Linked DNA regions of Schizosaccharomyces pombe. The main gene of each other region encodes a partner of the protein of the gene in region 3 in a complex. Each region holds a gene or a part of one and is shown on either strand. Other genes may lie near its edges. A codon is read from its position in the direction of its gene.

Region 1 (5,426 bases), on a different chromosome or scaffold from region 3:
TCCTCAATATCGGAGTTATTTCCGGCGATCTAATCGACGTGATAACTGGAGAAAGTTATCATATCTTATCATTTGTAATTCTAAAAGTAAAATCGATCAACTCATAAAATAACATTTCACTTTGCTGCACTGTAGATTTTTCTTATCAAATCTATTGGTGTACTAAACAGACTAGCTAACGTTTGCTGATCCGATCGACTATAGCAGCACACTCACTCTCTATACCATAAGACGTTGCCGAACCGACATCTATCGTCATTCAAATAATCTTTGGATTTGGTAATTTTAGTCGTTTACATACGCTACTTAGTATTTTTTTGGATTTTACGCTTTTCTACTAAAGTATACGAAAATTAGACTACCTTTCGTGAACAATATAATTGACCAAATCTTAGAGCTGAAATTTTTTGAGAAATATGTCTTATATGCATTCTTTAAACCTGATGCTGCAAAATCCCAGCGGAATTGACAAAATTGCTGCCATTCTTGTCAACGTTGCGAGGTTGGATCCAGCATCTTCGAAATCAACTGCTCAACTGGTTTCTATGCTAAATGAATTTCGATGTATTTTACGTCTTCCTGGTCTCTACAAATTAATCGTAAATTTTCGTAAAGATTCTTCTCCTGAAACTTACATGAGTAACGCAATCAATATTGGATACTATGTCACAGAAGGATTGGCATTCTTAGGCGGCAAACAGATTATTTCCATATCAAAACCGTTGGAAGACAAATTATGGCTTTGGTCTTCTAGATTTTGGCTTCTCGATACTTTATTGACCATTTACCAGCTTTTGCGTGAAAAAACAGAAGACGAAAAGGAGCATCAGTTAGACTTAGCTTCAAACTTGGCTAGCCTTCCTTTGTGTATTCACTGGTCTGTAGAAAATGGAGCTGGTTTACACAAACACCAAATTGGAGTTCTTGGTCTTTTCAGCGCAATTGTACAAACTAGAAAACTAATCCTCTCTTTGCACAATAAAAGAGCTTAGTTACGAATGAGCTTTTTAAATTTAAATAGAAGTTACTTTTTTCATGTAATTCTATTCGTGCTCAACTATTTTTCGTTTTCTCGAATGTCTATGTGAGTAAAGTAGTAAACAAAAGTGGTAACAGTCGTCTTGGTTTTTTCAGCAAAAATCGAAATATGCCATTCTAAATGAAGGGACTGAATCGGTTTAAAGCTTGAAAGGTTTTAGAAATGAAGTCGATTTTAATCGTTAATCCATTCCATTAAAGCGTTTTAAATTTTGGGATATTGATCGAAAATTTAATCAACGGAAAACATTAAGTTACTCTTTGTTTGTCACCAAAATGTACCTTGTCATTTTTTTCTAATTGAACTGAATATCTTTATTAACGAGTGTTTTTAATGGCCCTGCAATTTCAAATTGAGGATGTACGATATCATACTTTTAAGTATATCATATATAAACGTTAAGGAATTATTATCAACTATAATGCACTACTTTTTTAGGTTTCTTCTGAAGCTCAGTACTGTTGAGAATGTTCTAATTACGACTCAAGAATTGACGGATAATAGCTCGAATAATAAATTTGAGGCGACATAAATGGTTACAAGTTGATTAAAGAACATAGAGATTAATACACATACTGTTAAATATGGTTCAATTGTTGAATTCATTTGGACTTTAATTCCAGCTTTAATCTTAATTTTACACGCATCATAATGGTTTCACTCAAAAAATCAGATTCAGTAATATAAAACAATTTACTACTGACTGAGTACAACGATATTTTCATCTAAAAAAAAATCTGAAAATATAAAGAATATTGTTATTTAAAAGAAAGGAGAACAGACTACGACAAATTGAAAAAAATGAAGGAATTGGTAAACAAAATGTATCTATCGAAAACAACGCTGTACTACGTAAAGTGAATACTGTTCGTAACCGCATTCCATACGGATGGCTAGAATCCAGTAACCCTGCCCTAAACTGTGACTGCTTTATCTCATTAAACCTGCGAGAAGTCAAATTATGAGCTACCATCTGCAATCACCATGTTGTTGTACAAGGACGTTATTTCTGGAGACGAACTCGTTTCTGACGCCTACGACTTGAAGGAGGTAGACGATATTGTCTACGAGGCTGATTGCCAAATGGTCACTGTCAAGCAAGGTGGTGATGTTGACATTGGTGCCAACCCTTCTGCCGAGGATGCTGAGGAGAATGCTGAAGAGGGTACTGAGACTGTAAACAATCTTGTTTACTCTTTCCGTTTAAGCCCTACTTCTTTTGACAAGAAGTCCTATATGTCTTACATCAAGGGTTACATGAAGGCTATCAAGGCTCGTCTTCAAGAAAGCAACCCCGAGCGTGTTCCTGTTTTCGAGAAGAATGCCATTGGATTCGTCAAGAAGATTTTGGCTAACTTCAAGGACTACGACTTTTACATTGGTGAGAGCATGGATCCCGACGCAATGGTTGTCTTAATGAACTACCGTGAGGATGGTATTACTCCCTACATGATCTTCTTCAAGGACGGTCTTGTTTCTGAGAAGTTCTAAATGCAAATTTGGGTTCTTATAAGGGAGTTTCTAACTGGGAACATGATATCATGTCTAAATTTTATAGTTTTGTGAATTAGTTTTCACAAAATTTCATTAGGATTAGAACAGGGGTTTTTGTTCTGATAATAATTAATTATGCTAGCTTATAATCATGTTCAAATTGAAATTAGTGTTTTTTTATCGATTTTGTATTTGGTTGAATGGAAGATTGAGGTATCGATGTTTTAAAACGTGTGTGCTAAAATTCATGAATCTATTTATATATTAACAGGCCGAAATAATTTAGTAAGTAAGGATATGGTTTGAAATTTGGTATTTTACCATTAATTTAGTGTATTTTTTTGCTTTTTATCGAAGTTGATAATTCAAGTCCTTTACGAGGAATAGCCAAACTTTTGTTATGGCGACACTAGACGACCCGGTAGCCATTGAAACTTTGTTACAGTCGAAACTATAGTTTACTGTTAGTACTAAAGATTTGGGAAATTTTTGCTCGACGATGTTATTTTTGTAGCGGACGACTATTGGATTAAATTTATGCTTAATTGTTAAGCCTTTTAATCAATCTTATCATTGAGTTAATAGACTAGTTGCATTTAATTTTGTCAATGTATATTGTTACGTTTAAATAGTAAACTATATAAGCAGTTTAAATCAACGAGTTTAGCTACAATATTCCCCTAAGTGAAATATATCATTTAAAAGCACTAACAAATACGCATAATTTAGGCATTGTACTATTTGCAACTAATTACTTAACACCTCGATTTGTTGCCCTTGTGCGGGTTACCATTCCCCTCGCTCATTTATCTAGTCTCTTTTACCAACCACACCATATATCCTTTGACGAGGTCATGACAGACGTTCAAGAGACCCAAAAAGGAGCACTCGTAAGTGATATGGAATAGATTTTTTATTAAATAGAAATAATTATTAATCTATGTGATGTACAGAAAGAAATTCAAGCATTTATACGCTCGCGTACAAGTTACGATGTTTTGCCTACGTCCTTCCGTTTAATCGTGTTCGATGTTACGCTTTTTGTAAAAACATCACTTTCTCTTCTTACATTAAACAGTACGAAAGATTTTTCATTACAGATGTGAAATCAACTTATTAATCACGTCTTAGATATCGTCAGTGCTCCTTTATGGGACAGTGAAGCGAATAAGTTTGCGGGCCTTTTAACGATGGCGGATTTCGTCAATGTTATTAAGTATTATTACCAAAGCTCTTCATTTCCCGAGGCTATAGCTGAGATTGACAAATTTCGATTGTTGGGACTTCGTGAAGTGGAAAGAAAGATTGGCGCCATTCCTCCGGAAACTATATATGTTCATCCAATGCATAGTCTTATGGATGCTTGCTTAGCCATGTCAAAGAGCCGTGCTAGAAGAATTCCTTTAATTGACGTAGATGGCGAGACAGGCAGCGAAATGATTGTATCTGTTTTGACACAATATCGAATTTTGAAATTTATCTCCATGAATGTTCGTAAATCGTGTTATGTTTTTATATTTACTAATTTCAAATTTAGTGCAAAGAAACCGCAATGCTACGGGTACCATTAAACCAAATGACAATTGGGACATGGTCAAATTTAGCTACCGCGTCTATGGAAACGAAAGTCTATGATGTTATTAAAATGCTTGCCGAAAAGAATATATCTGCCGTCCCAATCGTTAATTCTGAAGGTTTGTGAGATGTTTTGAATTTTTTCTGTGAATAATTTATATATTAACTGAGCAGGTACCCTGCTAAATGTCTATGAATCGGTGGATGTAATGCATCTTATACAAGATGGTGATTATAGTAATTTAGACTTGAGCGTAGGCGAGGCTTTATTGAAAAGACCAGCTAACTTTGATGGCGTCCACACTTGTCGAGCTACTGATCGTTTGGATGGTATTTTTGATGCTATTAAGCATTCCAGGGTTCATCGTCTTTTCGTGGTTGATGAAAACTTGAAGCTCGAAGGTATTTTATCTTTGGCTGATATTTTAAATTACATAATATACGATAAAACGACTACGCCCGGCGTTCCCGAACAAACTGATAATTTTGAATCTGCCGTATAATTTGATTCTCGTGCGCTTCAGCCTGAATGCATTCATAATCTGTTGAAAACATTGCCAAGTCTCATGATATTTGAAGTTAAACCGTTGAGTTGTTTCTTTTTTTTTGCATGGCAGCTCGAGGTGGTATCTAATTCAGTGTACTCGAATGAGGCTTCTTTTATTTCAAAAAGTATTAATTCGGTTATTACAACTTCTGTCTATATAATATGATGTGACTTGTACCATTATGCTAATGCCTATCTAATTAAATAACTAACACATGCCTTTCATTAGCTACTAAGTTCGCATTTTTCTAGGAATGCATCAATTAACCGATCGTAAGTGTAATTTTCTTGTAAATATTCTTTCATATATGCATATTGTTCAGGTATGAGTATTAAAAGCTGCGTTGGCAGTAGATTACAATAATTTAATGTTCTTCGCATTCCATGCTACCAATAATTATGGAAGATGTACGAGTTAAATGACAGATCAATTGTGTGCAAGAAACTTCACACTCGCCGAGCATATGAAGTAGTTATTTACAACTAAGAAAGCTAACCTTTTCCGTAATGATAAGAGAGGGACGCATATCTAATCAACACACTACAAACTCATCTATATGTTAAAAATTTTCTTGAGTTCAGCAATGGTATCGTCAGGATTAGTAACAGAATGTCCGATAGTACGAGGGTCGACAAAAATTTCATAATCATTGCCGCCTTTGTATGTCTTGTCTCCAAAAAAGTGAATTGTATCAAATCCCTCTTTCTCTACGTGTTGCAAGCAATATGTCTTATCCCAACCAGCAGGGAACACATCAAAAGAGATTTGAC
Region 2 (5,337 bases), 280 kb from region 3:
AGTCTCTAGCCGTTTACCCAAAACTTACTACAACGAATATGCTGCTAGATTTGCAGGAAACCAATCAAAGGTCCAAACTCCAGAAATTTTCTTGTTCTCGTATATATCTAACAGGATCAAAAAACAAGTTATTCATTTAGAAGAGTCAGGATATCCACTTGCAAACATAAATATGCGTTTTGTCAGTGATCTGTTCATTCAAGAAGGTATCAAAAGAAAAAATCGGATTAAGAAGAAAGAGCATTAGTAAATTAAGCAAAATCAAAAAAGAATCCAGCAAAACATCGAGAAGGAAAGTCTTTTTTTTTAACTCATTAAAAACATAACATATTAGTAAATGGCAATTTGCAACACGGATAACTGCCTTTTTAATAGATAATAATTGTGATTTCAAAACAACAAATGAATCGAAATCAAGAGGAGATAATTCATTCTTTTAATTTCCTTTTCAGGAATTTTTAATAGATCCCATTGATTTGTTAGGGCGATGCCTCCGTCGTTTCACAGATGAAGGAACCGGAATCTCAGCAACAATTCTGGTCTCAACAGGAGGTATCTTAAGTTCTGTGCTAGATTTTCTAGAGGAAGATGAGGAATGACTAATGGAATCGAGAGATTTCGTCTTTTCGAGAGCAATTGGTTGACGTTCTTCGTCAAGTTTTTCGGAATCCTTCGAAGGAATTCGAGAAGCCAAATCACCCAACATAATATTTCTATCTTTGTAAGGATATTCTAAAACTTTTTCATTTTTCATCTTTGTCATGGCTTCCGTAACAGTGGAATTGGACGATGGCGTTGCAAAAGAATCAATGAAAGTAAAAACGGAATTCAAACTGAACCCTACAATGATTCCAAGAAATACAGCCCATGATAGCAAAACATACAATGGATATAAAGTAATTCCGACCATTAAAATGAATCTTGCAGGCGCACGAATAAAGTACCAATACACGCTTTGAACCAAAAGAATAGCAGGATCAGCAAGGATCCATAAAAATAGGCTCACAATTCGTAAAATAAATATTACAACTGTTCTTATTGTGAGAAAACCTGGAAGTAGTACATTACCAAAGACCTTCAAGCTAACGTTCCAGGAAATGACAGCGCTCACATATAGGATGGTAGATAGAATTTTAAGGCTTCTTAATAAGTAATTGAGCACTACAGCTCTGACTACAGTCCATATAGTTTCAAAGCCCTCAATAAACGAGAGATCCATGTCTTAAACAAAAAAGTTTTAAATTAGTGCTCTTAATAATTAGCACTCTGGATGTAAGTGATCAAGGAAGGTGCCCTTTCAAGTTGTTTGCGTAATGCACTATCTTGTATACCATGTCAGCAATATGACACTACGCTATGATACACTACGTTGCGTATCACTATATGTCACATGTTCTAATTATATATCGTACCATGTATGATACGATATGGAGATTGATCTTAATGATAATCTATTAAGATCAATATTATCTGAATACTATAAATAGAGCTACTGCTGAACCTCGTTCCTCAGTTCAGTTATGAGCTATATTAGTGATAGGTAACATTATAACCCAGTTAATACAATACCTATACTCAGTTGCTACTTATACAACCTGTGTATTGTAATATAATAGATCACAAGGAAAACTCACCGTAGTTCTACGTATCCTTAAATCAGATACCAAACTGCGTAGCGTACATACCAATTCTAAATACTACTATTCCTACAATACATTAATGTCAGCTTATATAAAATACACTACGATACACTATAACATATGCTCTAATATTCTATTTGCTCTATTTACTTACAAGATAAGTTATCAAGAAGATTATAATAGTGTTCAATAATAAAAAGATGTTATTTTATTACATAGTTTTTTCAATGCTTTAAATTAAGACAAACTGAACCTCGTTCCTCAGTTCAGTTATTAGCTAAATCGGTCACCAATACTAGTAGACTTATAACAATAAATATAATATTGTTAGTGAAGCATACCCATACCGTTATCTTGTAGCCCGCAAAAGAAACTCATCGCATTTTAGTGTATCGCTAAACAAATACCAAACTACGTAGCAAACAATAAATCGCGTAGGTTATTCATTAAAAGCCTCTAGGATATGTATGGGTATAATTTGTATATTTAAACGGTCTATTTCAAATCCTTCCTCGTGTTCGTGGCTTTAAAACAGCATAAAAAGATTACCACTGAAATCAAAATTTCGTTTGAGTTAGGTGAACGGAAAGAGTACTCTAACAGCATATTCAACCATATGTACTTCAATTCATGACATTTTTGTAATGGAACATATCATATCAAAAAACAATACTTCATACTTTATTGTATCATTAAACCAATACTGAGCTGCGTACTAACAACATATAAGTTTTCACTACTTTGCTTCGTTATAGATTATAAAGTGAAGGATTCATCGCAACAAAAATTCACGTTTGGTTTGGTAAAGTCGTCATTTAACTAAAAAATAATATATTCTTCGTTTCATATGGAATGTATTTAATCAGTACGTTCATTGAAAACACTGTTCTTGTTTTTGCAATGCAGTGATTTTAGTTCGCTTATTTCGCAGCATAATAAGTAGACATGAAAAATTGACGGAAATAGAGCATTTGATATCTAGAAATTCAGGCTTTTTTTAAGTTCGTAACTTAATTTGAGTGATTTCGTCTGAGAAATAGAAGCGTCTTTTTTACGAAAGAAGTTTTTGCGCCATACTTATATATTGTTATACTAGAACGTAGTTAAAAAAGATGAAGCTATACGAGCGTAATGTACAAGGTATTCATTAATTTATAAACATATAATATGCAGGCCTTTCGGTTATGGAAGTTTAACTCAATTAAAGCCTCGCTAAGTTACAATAATTATAAGTGAACCGCTTTTAGTGTATAATTAACTTGAAGGCCTCTCAATGCACAGAGTAGTTTAAAATTTTTCTATATCGTTTCATATGTAGCTTCAATAATTTTTTAAACATTTCCATTAAGAATGAGAAGCATGCTGCTTTTTACCTTCAAAAGATTATACATAGCTGTTGTAGAACTGTATTATACGTCCCAAATGCAATATTAAATTTTTCAGCTTTTATCATACAGCTTTTAGATATTTATTCTTTATAATAAATGGATTTTCAATTAATGTTTTCTTTGATAAAGCTGCAAAACAGTACGAAGCGTTTAACTGTGAATAACGCTGCACTTTAGCTTCCACTATTTAATGATAGCTTAGATACAATAAATAACCTTATTTCATGCTCGTTGGGGTTTAGTTCAAAGTGATGAGCTACAAAGCCAGAACAAACTACTTTACATCATTTCAAAATGGGAAATGTTCAATCTCAGGAGGGTAATGTCCTTTAAGTTAAACACATGTGAAATAAGTATCTAATTTAATGTTAGGAGAGACTCGCGCACATGCTGTCCCTTCTCAAGATGCCACAACAACGCCTGACAATGCAAATAACGTTCCAAAAGAACCACGTGCCCAAAGCATGATTAGTATTGCTGCAGATGATTTGAATCAAGAAGGTGAAATGTCGGATGATAATCAGCAGGAAGGCGGTAATAATCGTACTTCCCAAAACGGAACTTCAGGATCGAGTGGTCATACGAAACGCCGTTCTCAAACTTCAGGCAAGAAGACACATCAGCCTTATTCTGGTAAGTTTCTTTAAGACCGGTTTATTTGATTGCTTGACATCCTTATGTAACAAGGGTGATTTACCGTAACATTGCATTATCATTTAAGCTGTTGACCTTAACGTTTGTTTGCAATAGTTTTCAGAAAGGAGATTTTTTGCAATTGACAATTTAATTACTTACACATATAGGTCCTTGTGTGCCAACCATTATTCGATGGAGAGGAGGCGGTGAAGTTGTTTATGTCACTGGATCGTTTTCTCGTTGGAAGAAAAAAATCCAATTACTGAAAAGGTATGAGTTTTTCATGGTGTGCTTTTTTCTATATTTGAGCCTCCCTTTATAGGTTGTTTATCCTGTTTTAAGCTTGCTAACTTTTTCGCCAAATAGCGAAGATTACACTGTCCTTTTGCAATTACGTCCTGGAACTCAGCGTTTTAAATTCTTGGTTGATGGTATATGGTGCTGTTCTTCAGATTTTCCAACTGCCACCGATGCGGAAGGCAACCTTTACAACTACCTCGAGGTGGAAGCTAATGAGAAGTTAGGCGCTAGTATTGATGAAAGATTGAGTCAAGTTCATACGGACCTTCCGATGGAGGAAAAGTCTGAATCTGAGCAATATTCTACGGAGATACCAGCTTTTCTTACTAGCAACACCCTTCAAGAGTTGAAGTTGCCAAAGCCCCCTTCTCTACCTCCTCATCTTGAGAAGTGTATCCTTAACTCAAATACTGCCTATAAGGAGGATCAGTCTGTCTTGCCAAATCCTAATCACGTCCTTTTAAACCATTTAGCAGCTGCAAATACCCAGTTAGGCGTTCTCGCTTTAAGTGCTACTACGCGCTATCATCGAAAGGTAAGTCGGTTCCTTATACGCGTTGCTTGACTAACTTTGTTTCCCCAGTATGTCACTACTGCTATGTTTAAAAATTTTGATGTCTAGCCATACCGCATCTGTCGAATTTATTGTTTATATTTCGCGACGTATATAATCACTTTAATGATAAATTTATTTTTTTAAATTTCTCAAACATCCCATCATTATACTTCATTTGATTGGTTTATTTGCACGATTTTGTTTCGAGAAAACTTTACGCTGTGATATCAAGCACAAAGCAACCAGTTCATATTTCACTATGTAGCGATCCATAGGTTAATTAATTTTTATAAATACATATCTAGTTACTTCACTTCACGATGTTATTCTCTTAATCCTTTGCGTAACGGAACCTTTTCCACAAATATAGCAATAGGTAGAAGAACGAAAAAATCGCGACTCCATTAGTCACCCATTCTACGACATGTTTATAGGATAAATCGGCTATTGGAATAGATATGCTTAAGGTTGTTGGATCGTTTTGTAAGGTATATTTGTTCTTACTGGAAAACAGAAATCTGAAATCATTTACTTTGTCTTCAGTGTCACAATTCCAGAAAAACTTGGGATTTGTTAATGATGTTTTTAAGTATGTTTGTCCTTTGAGAGGGCTTTGATAACGTGTGTGTAAGGGAATGATAGTGTCTATATAGTCTTTTTGCAACAAACCATCGTCCGTATATATGTCAAACCAGAAAAAAGACCCAGTACCATTTAATTTGTAACTAGGTGCTTCCAAGTCGGTCTCACCCCAAATTCCTAAAACATGCCCTAAATTGTCGGCATGCATTTCCGCAATATTAGATAGCTCGTACCT
Region 3 (8,120 bases):
AGTTGATCATGTACTTTCCATCAAAAAGCAATAACCTCTTCTTCTCTATTGTCCTGATTTCGCTATTTTTCGGTACGTAAAGAAACTTACGAAATTTTTAAAAAATTAAGGATACGAGGATCCATTGATAACTAAGATCCAGTTGTTTGCAAGTGTATTATCCTTATCATCAGAACTGTTTTTTTTTAATTGATTTTGCAAAATAAACTATCTGTAAGAAATGTAGAAATGAAAAGAATAATGAAACCGAAAAAAAAGCATACATATGACTACAGCTATCCAAAACAAAATCAAATAAAAAACAACTAATAACGAATAAAAAGAAAAGTAAATCGTTTCAACTTAAATAAAACAAGAAGAAGTAAATTGACAAAGTTTCATATAGAATGAGCCAAACATCATTTCTATTCGCAATACAATCCTCTTTCCTCTAATATCAACCTTCTTTTCATTTCTCTATAATATAACCGTCTTGTCGAGTTCTTTCTCGGTAAATACCTTAGATAGCGGATGTGGGTAGATTGGATTTGAAATCATTGCATGGCGGCAATCTTTGATTGTTTAATTTTGCGCCTTTTTTTCTAATCCCCGATAGAGTTAACATATGATGAAGGACGTCGATACAAAAACCTGGAGAAACGAGATGCGTAAACAAGTCGGGAAATCAACAATCATATCAGAAAAGTTGAAAGTCAGAATACCAAAAAAATTAGGGAAACCTAGCATGACATTGTAATTTGTTGTATGCTATTGTCATATTAAATTGTTTGGATAGTAAGTAAAATATTGTTCATCTTCATCTTCATCTTCACTTTTTTTTTTAAATTCTTGTCAACTGCGTTTTTGCCTCCCAAGTTTTATTTACTTACCTCTTCTTTCTTCAATTAGCTGGCGATTCTCGAGGCTTAAAATCGACGACTGAACCCAGCTCTCTGCCTTAGCATTTTACATTGACATCCTTTACGCAATTAATTAATTATCAGAATATATTCATCTTCCAATGTGCTTTAGTTTTTCGGAAAAATTCATATGTCAATCCTAAAGTCGTTCTTTTTTATTTTAGAGGACCTTTATAAATCTCAAACGCTTCCCAATACTACACACTTTTCTTGTTCTTCTGAATTTCCTCGATTTTTAATATTTTTCTCTTTGAACAAGCAACATGAAAGAGTATCTCCCTAATCCATACCTCAAACTTGGCATTTTGAAATGAACAAAGGATTAGATAGAGTTATACTATACTGAAATAGAGGACGTTTGCAATGTAGAGATCTGCGATGTTTACACGAGGATAGTTATACAATGACTGTGAATGTGTGCGACAAGCAAATCATTGTACTGCAGAAACAAGAATTTGTGTCAAAATTTTTAACTCGTTCATGAATTAAATTCAAAAAGAAAGTAGACTTACTGTTTGCCAAGCAATATGAGGCAAAACTCTTATCCCGTTTGCTGACAACAATACGATAAACATGTTAATTCGCGAGTTGGCAAGGCATTGATATGTCTACATCATTAATGATTTTAGGAAAACATATAATGTCTTTTTGCTTTAATTTCAAATTAAACGAAATTAATGTTTTTATTTACTAAAACGCGAGTTAACAAGAAAGTCATTGCAAATTAGTGTCAGCAATACTACCCTGCGTTAAAATACATTACGTTGTGTATCAGCATGTTTCCTTATGTTAATATAGTTTTAAGACCCGTTTAAATACTGATAATCGCGGATAACTGTTCATCTAGAATGTTTGTGGTTTAATAAATTAGGATGAAATATAAATAGAGCCAAATTGAACTCAGGAACGACATTCACTTATAAGCTAGTTTAGTGATGGGTAACGATTTAACCCATATATCAATACATAAAATTAATTGCTACTCATGATATCTGTATACTATAATTAATAAACCACAACGAAATTTACCGTACTACTACACGTAGCGCAAAGTTTTAATTGCGTAGTTTGACCTAAAGCTAAAAATTTGCGAACTAACTTATGGTGGCATATTCTATTATATAAAAAAGTATCACTTTAAATGTGTTTGCTTAACACCTATAGATCGTGATGCCAGACAGCATGTGAATGAAGAAACCTCTATTCATCGTGTGAAATGAATTTTGTAAATAAAGTCCAATCACATGCTAACTTTACTATTTGAATTACAAAGATGCTTTTTACACGAAACTTGTTTACGAGGATGTCCAAATAAAAAAGCATTCCTGTGATTGTGATTTACCCCAAACAAGCTATAAAATTCGTTCAGGGTAAATTGCGCTGTATTTTTATTGCATTCTTATATTATCATACAAGTTGTTGACTTCGAAAACACTTCCCTGCTTTCTAAAAAAATTTTTATTTGGATTTTGATTGATAGCTTTTCTTAGAATATTAAATTTTTTCGTCAAAGCAAAGACTTTCATGCAAGAAACAGTGATAATTAGTCTGTGTGCCTTGTAAACAAATGAAATCAGTTCAGGCTCGTTATATTCATGATCACTGTTTAAATGTTGCTGAGAAATCACATCCAATATGAAGACTCTTTTCTAATAAAAAGCTTGTTCATTTCCTTTTTTTTGTATTAACTCAACCAGTACTTAATTGTTTACAAACTCAACGAAGATTTGACAAGAGCGTTATAATGCGATACACAACGCTGCACTTAACAACCATCTTATGAAGACTGTGGGGTACGCCGTGTGTTCCATTATATCTGGGATGGGTTCTTTACAAACATAATAAACTGCTTAATCATACTTGGATCATGTTATTACTTATACAGCCAAGATTGAAATGCGAACACTGTAACATGTATAAGTATTTTATTGGAACAGTTAACTGGGTTAGTTAAATAAGAGTTTGCAGTTTGCATTAAAATGAATAGTGTAGTAGAATTTTAATTCATTGAGTAAAATTCCGCATTGTGACGCAACTTCGTTAACTAGTAAAACGGTGGCTTAAAAAACTGTATAGTGTTATTTTAAACGAATTAACGAGTCCAATTCATATCATCTCATGTGACACAACTAAGGATGTATACTATGGCTTTGCCTTCTACCAAATTATATATTTATCTCACACTCTGAAATTTAAGCCTTGCTATTAAGGAAAAAAAGATTTTATCAATAAACTTTCAATATTGGATTTGCCAAGCGAATAGCTGATAATGCAACCGCAGGAGGTTGATTTAATGGAGAACTCAACCATGCGAAATGGAGCAAGAGTTTTACCACCAGAAGCCATATCCAAGCGCCATATCGGCCCTTATATTATAAGGGAAACCCTTGGTGAAGGTTCTTTTGGCAAAGTCAAGCGTAAGATTGCTAATATTTAATATCATGAGAATAGAGACTAACGTACTTGTAGTCGCTACTCATTACAAAACGCAACAGAAAGTTGCTCTCAAGTTTATCTCCCGTCAATTGCTAAAGAAAAGCGATATGCATATGCGTGTGGAGCGTGAAATTTCATACTTGAAGCTTTTGCGACATCCTCATATTATTAAATTGTATGATGTGATAACCACGCCCACAGATATCGTTATGGTAATTGAATATGCAGGTGGTGAATTGTTTGATTATATTGTAGAAAAGAAAAGGGTAAGTGGTGCGGTTTGCGAGTTTTTGTTACAGTAAATTTCAGAAGTGATGTTGGATTGGTTTGATTTGTCAAAATGTACAAGTTATCCGATTGTCTTTTTTAAAAATAGAAAAAGATAAATTGTTTTTGCATCTGAAATGTTGCTGATGAAGGCTTGTTTACAAATTTGAATGCACGAATTTATGTATTTGCTGACTGTTTTTAAAGATGACTGAAGATGAGGGTCGTCGTTTTTTTCAACAAATTATATGTGCAATTGAGTACTGTCACCGTCACAAAATTGTACATCGCGATCTTAAACCCGAAAATTTGTTGTTGGATGACAATCTCAACGTAAAGATTGCTGATTTCGGTTTATCAAATATTATGACAGACGGTAATTTCCTAAAAACGTCCTGTGGCAGTCCAAATTATGCAGCCCCGGAAGTTATCAACGGGAAATTGTATGCTGGTCCAGAAGTCGATGTTTGGAGTTGCGGCATTGTTCTCTATGTGATGTTGGTGGGTCGTCTTCCTTTCGACGATGAATTTATCCCCAATTTGTTTAAAAAAGTTAACAGTATGTTTGGCCACTTTTTTTTCTACTTATCTCTTGCTAAACGTATTTAGGTTGTGTTTATGTTATGCCTGATTTTCTTTCTCCCGGAGCACAATCTTTAATTCGCCGAATGATTGTTGCAGATCCAATGCAGAGGATAACAATTCAGGAAATACGTCGGGACCCTTGGTTCAACGTTAATTTACCCGATTATTTACGTCCTATGGAGGAGGTCCAAGGCTCTTATGCTGATTCACGAATTGTCAGCAAGCTTGGTGAGGCAATGGGGTTCTCGGAGGATTACATTGTCGAAGCTTTACGTTCAGATGAAAATAATGAAGTAAAAGAGGCTTATAACTTGCTACATGAAAATCAAGTAATCCAAGAAAAGAGTCATCTCTCCAAATCAAAACGAGTCGATTCTTTTCTATCTGTATCTCCACCCGCATTTTCAGAATATACTTCTGAATTGCAAAAGAAGTCAAAACAGGAGCTTATCGATCCTACTTTAGAAGGACCGCGTTGGACAGTCTCCGACCCTCCAACATATGCTAAACAAACAATTGACAGTAACATATGTGTCCTTGTGCCTACGGCAGAAAAAAATAAACTTGAAATGAGGACTCTTGCCGATGCTGCTAGTGCTGTGGATACGAGCCAATCCACTCGCAAAAAGAGTCGCCGTAACAAATGGCATTTTGGTGTTCGCTGCCGGGGCGATGCACCTGAAATTTTGTTGGCTGTGTATCGAGCTTTACAACGTGCAGGAGCTCAGTTTACCGTTCCAAAACCAGTAAATGGAAAATATCGATCAGACATGTATACCATTAAAAGTCGTTGGGAAATTCCTCATTGTAAAAGGGAAGGAAAAAATACTTATGCTTATATTGAGTTACAACTTTATGAAGTTATGCCCGGGTGTTTTATGCTAGATGTGAAATCTAATGGTTACAAAGATATTTATTCTCATCCTGAACGAACAGCTGATCATGGCATGGATGATCTTAAGTCATCTTTCCCATTTTTAGATTTGTGTGCTATGCTGGTGTGCAAGTTATTTTCTGCATGATTTATTGTAACTCCCCATTTAACACGCTGTTTTCAAGCATCCCTTAATTACCCATTGTTGAACAAATCTACTCAATAGCAAAGACACATTTTATTTTTTTTACCTTTTCTTTTAGCGAATAAGGTTGCATGAAGATACTAGTGTCCGGATTAATTACCGCCATTTTCTGTTGAAACATTTATGAATTGATGAATTTAGTGCCATTGTATTATCAACGGTTTACAGAAGATTTTGGTTTCACTCGTTAAGTATTTATCTTGTTATAACCATAATACATTTGTTGATATGAAATAATCGAATGACTGAATGTTAGGAGTTTATTGAGTCCTTTTACTTTTCATGCGGGTTTTCTCTGATAACTGAAATTTCCCATTTATCTATATGCATGACGATGTTGATTATATATGCTCACCTTTCTTTTAATAATAAAGAAAACCGTTAAGAAAAAAAAAATTTATACGTTTATGTTAATGTAAACGAGAATCAAATCAAAGACTAGTTAATATGCAATTTTTTTTTGCAATTTAAGAACGACTTGCAGCTGCGACATCGAGGAACTAGTCCATAAAGAGTATTATTTTCCTTTATCTTTACTTTAATTCAAATACAAACCAATTCTATTTAAAATACTATGCTAGCTTGTTTGTAATTAGTTGAACTTTATGAAGAAAGCAATTCCCCCCCCCCCCTTTTTTTTTTAAAAAAAAAATTGTTAAAACATCTGTACATCAAATTTTGCAAATTTCTTTTCATAAAGAATGTCAATAGAAATGTCAACTTTAGTGTGATAAAGAAAAAAGCTAATAAAGAAAGTTATAGACACAAAATGTGAATTATGAAACGAGAACAAATGATTGGTATTCTTAATTTTTGTATGTCTCAATATTTAAATTATTTGAAAATCCTACTATATATTCCTCAAAATTTGTAGAAGGTATTTTCATTCATTTTGTCTAAAGGATTCATACATTCCACAGTTAGTATATAGATTAATTTGTTCCATTCTGCAAAAAATAAATAAAAATACTCCGTTCATAGAACTGGTGCACAGCTTACTCTCAAAAAAAAAAAACAATGTATAAATTATGTTTACTATCTAATAACAGACGTTAATATGAAGACCGGTTAATGTATGAGGAAAAAGAGATGGGTTCAAAATCACAAGAGAATGAAGAAAAAAATAAGAGTATAATATCCTTTTATTCTTAATTTTTTCTAACGGAATTCGTGAAAAGATTGATCCGATCTAAAAACGGTGAATCATTTTGTTTACAGCTGGAAAGCCATTTGGCATACCAAGTCCCACACGCCAAAAATGCTTCTTAAGTCTTCTATTATTGTCAATATAATTAAAAAATTAAAAATCTACTAAAATTATATTTTTTTATTTAGTTTTAACTATTAATATACACGATGGTGTAGCGAAGGGTTTAGAGAACTCCAACGAATTTCACAAAGTTGCATGTTCAGTTTCCTTACTTGAATAGTAGTCGACGTTGATCCTTTCTCAGCGTATATCCTCAGGAAACGATTAAATCGGCACAGTGCGAATTTCTGAAAGGTTCAATTTATTCGGAGTATTACTTTGAACCTCTTTGATATTTAATTAATGGATAATTGGAATTCCGTGCGAAATGTGTCGAGTGATAGACAAACAAGTAAAACGTCAGAAAATCCTCCACATACTTCCAATGAGTATAGTGGAAAACCGGAATTTATTAATCTGAGTCCTGATTTAGAAGAAAACTTAGATGAAAAGTTAATGAGTGCTTTCCCTGGTATGCAGGCTATTAAAGCGGGGATAGAGAGTTGGTCAATAATTTGAAATATTTGCCTCTACGGGCTGTAGCGAGTGATGTCTTGATTGCTTGTTCTCTCTTTTTTCTCTGCTATTTTTGATCCTTTCTCTTAGAATTCTACTAATTGTTGCCCTTAGGCTTAGAACCTCATGTGTTTCAACACTCCCAGTCACCTCTGTCACATAAAGATGCTTCATTGTTAGCTACAATGCCTTCAGGTATATTTTCTTTTGTTTATTCATTCTTTTTATTTTTATCTCTACTATACTGAGTTTTCCTATGTTCTCAATTTTTCTTTTTCTTTTTTGATTCGTTCAATTTGCTAATATTTATCTTAGTTGCCTCATCCAATCCATCACTCATATCTTCTGGATCTTCGCAAACTGGCTCCCCATCACAATCCTTGTCCTCTAATAAGGAACCAAGTTCTCCTGGCATTTCTCCTTCCAATGACTCTCAATCACAAAATACTAATCATACCTCTATCTCAGCCAATCCATATGTTAATAATCCAAGTCATACTTCAAGGAATCCGGATTCAGGATCTTCGTAAGTTTATTTTGCCTTAAAAATTTATTTATGACTAACGAAGCGCCTTAGTTTAAATACCGCCTCCCATGAAGTACCATCATCAAAATCAGACGTGAACGTTCAAATGCTTGCACGATTAAAATCTAAATCTCGTCAAAAAATTTCTTCCTCTGATCCGTTAGAAGATTTGCGCCTTACTCTGACTGAGTGTTTAAACCCAATTAACATCGTCCAAGCTCCAAAAGAATGTGCTGCAATCCTTGTTAATCTCATGAGCAATATCACCCAAGATGATCAAAAATTAGTTTTTCTAGATCTTCTTAAAAGCAAAGTGGGGAATAGTATTTATAGCCAACTTGTTGACGGCGGTCGTAAATTGTTCCTTCCTAAACTACGTAACTGGTTTGTATCAGCTATTCGTTCTAAACACGACGAACTCATTCATTTAATACTGCTCGTGCTAGCTAATCTTCCTCTTACGACTGAGAAGCTAGCTGAGGTTAAGTTTGGCAAACCAATTTTAATCGTAAAAAAAAAGTCTACCAATTCCGTTATACGCCAGCTTGCTGAAAATCTTTCTG

What was found. Proteins that work in one complex are often made in the same cells at the same time.
Region 1: the proteins of ssp2 (region 3) and cbs2 are in contact, whole or in part, in a crystal structure (PDB 2OOX), measured with the Schizosaccharomyces pombe proteins. Residues at the interface, in NP_588376.1 of Schizosaccharomyces pombe: Arg448 (codon at 4,820), Ile503 (codon at 4,985), His505 (codon at 4,991), Cys506 (codon at 4,994), Arg508 (codon at 5,000), Lys511 (codon at 5,009), Thr513 (codon at 5,015), Tyr538 (codon at 5,090), Lys539 (codon at 5,093), Asp540 (codon at 5,096), Ser543 (codon at 5,105), His551 (codon at 5,129), Met553 (codon at 5,135), Asp554 (codon at 5,138), Leu556 (codon at 5,144), Ser558 (codon at 5,150), Phe560 (codon at 5,156), Pro561 (codon at 5,159), Asp564 (codon at 5,168); in NP_001342925.1 of Schizosaccharomyces pombe: Leu52 (codon at 3,604), Trp61 (codon at 3,685), Ser63 (codon at 3,691), Glu64 (codon at 3,694), Ala65 (codon at 3,697), Asn66 (codon at 3,700), Asp147 (codon at 3,943), Val148 (codon at 3,946), Asp149 (codon at 3,949), Glu151 (codon at 3,955), Thr152 (codon at 3,958), Ser154 (codon at 3,964), Met156 (codon at 3,970).
Region 2: the proteins of ssp2 (region 3) and amk2 are in contact, whole or in part, in a crystal structure (PDB 2OOX), measured with the Schizosaccharomyces pombe proteins. Residues at the interface, in NP_588376.1 of Schizosaccharomyces pombe: Asn450 (codon at 4,826), Lys451 (codon at 4,829), Trp452 (codon at 4,832), His453 (codon at 4,835), Phe454 (codon at 4,838), Gly455 (codon at 4,841), Val456 (codon at 4,844), Asp461 (codon at 4,859), Ala462 (codon at 4,862), Pro463 (codon at 4,865), Glu464 (codon at 4,868), Leu466 (codon at 4,874), Leu467 (codon at 4,877), Tyr470 (codon at 4,886), Arg471 (codon at 4,889), Gln474 (codon at 4,898), Gln479 (codon at 4,913), Phe480 (codon at 4,916), Thr481 (codon at 4,919), Val482 (codon at 4,922), Pro483 (codon at 4,925), Lys484 (codon at 4,928), Tyr490 (codon at 4,946), Arg491 (codon at 4,949), Ser492 (codon at 4,952), Met494 (codon at 4,958), Tyr495 (codon at 4,961), Lys498 (codon at 4,970), Ser499 (codon at 4,973), Arg500 (codon at 4,976); in NP_588485.1 of Schizosaccharomyces pombe: Ser205 (codon at 4,254), Glu206 (codon at 4,257), Gln207 (codon at 4,260), Tyr208 (codon at 4,263), Ser209 (codon at 4,266), Thr210 (codon at 4,269), Glu211 (codon at 4,272), Ile212 (codon at 4,275), Pro213 (codon at 4,278), Phe215 (codon at 4,284), Leu216 (codon at 4,287), Thr217 (codon at 4,290), Leu221 (codon at 4,302), Lys225 (codon at 4,314), Leu226 (codon at 4,317), Pro227 (codon at 4,320), Lys228 (codon at 4,323), Pro229 (codon at 4,326), Pro230 (codon at 4,329), Ser231 (codon at 4,332), Leu232 (codon at 4,335), Pro233 (codon at 4,338), His235 (codon at 4,344), Leu236 (codon at 4,347), Lys238 (codon at 4,353), Cys239 (codon at 4,356), Leu241 (codon at 4,362), Asn242 (codon at 4,365), Leu261 (codon at 4,422), Asn263 (codon at 4,428).

Annotation. Positions count from the first base shown.
Region 1 is NC_003424.3:3,806,632-3,812,057, reverse strand, and holds cbs2 (protein kinase activator), read left to right. Parts: upstream 1-3,355; 5' UTR 3,356-3,387; coding exon 3,388-3,423; intron 3,424-3,486; coding exon 3,487-3,610; exon of another isoform or gene 3,611-3,664; coding exon 3,665-4,023; intron 4,024-4,070; coding exon 4,071-4,227; intron 4,228-4,282; coding exon 4,283-4,611; 3' UTR 4,612-4,926; downstream 4,927-5,426. Other genes in the region: SPOM_SPAC1F12.04C (uncharacterized protein), read left to right, coding at 417-992; tma19 (translationally-controlled tumor protein), read left to right, coding at 2,024-2,530; phosphomannomutase Pmm1, read right to left, coding at 5,209-5,426.
Region 2 is NC_003421.2:2,206,985-2,212,321, reverse strand, and holds amk2 (serine/threonine protein kinase AMPK (beta) regulatory subunit Amk2), read left to right. Parts: upstream 1-3,294; 5' UTR 3,295-3,322; coding exon 3,323-3,347; exon of another isoform or gene 3,348-3,400; coding exon 3,401-3,661; exon of another isoform or gene 3,662-3,831; coding exon 3,832-3,934; intron 3,935-4,030; coding exon 4,031-4,499; intron 4,500-4,547; coding exon 4,548-4,586; 3' UTR 4,587-4,837; downstream 4,838-5,337. Other genes in the region: SPOM_SPCC1919.04 (uncharacterized protein), read right to left, coding at 449-1,219; pbn1 (GPI synthesis protein pig-X), read right to left, coding at 4,852-5,337. UniProt on the Schizosaccharomyces pombe protein: Beta subunit of AMP-activated protein kinase (AMPK), which is required for transcriptional, metabolic, and developmental adaptations in response to glucose limitation.
Region 3 is NC_003421.2:1,926,906-1,935,025, reverse strand, and holds ssp2 (serine/threonine protein kinase AMPK catalytic (alpha) subunit Ssp2), read left to right. Parts: upstream 1-3,051; 5' UTR 3,052-3,168; coding exon 3,169-3,316; intron 3,317-3,368; coding exon 3,369-3,601; intron 3,602-3,809; coding exon 3,810-4,161; intron 4,162-4,211; coding exon 4,212-5,209; 3' UTR 5,210-5,836; downstream 5,837-8,120. Other genes in the region: ppn1 (cleavage and polyadenylation specificity factor complex-associated protein), read left to right, coding at 6,819-6,987, 7,146-7,226, 7,347-7,557, 7,609-8,120. UniProt on the Schizosaccharomyces pombe protein: Serine/threonine protein kinase essential for release from glucose repression via the phosphorylation of scr1 upon glucose deprivation.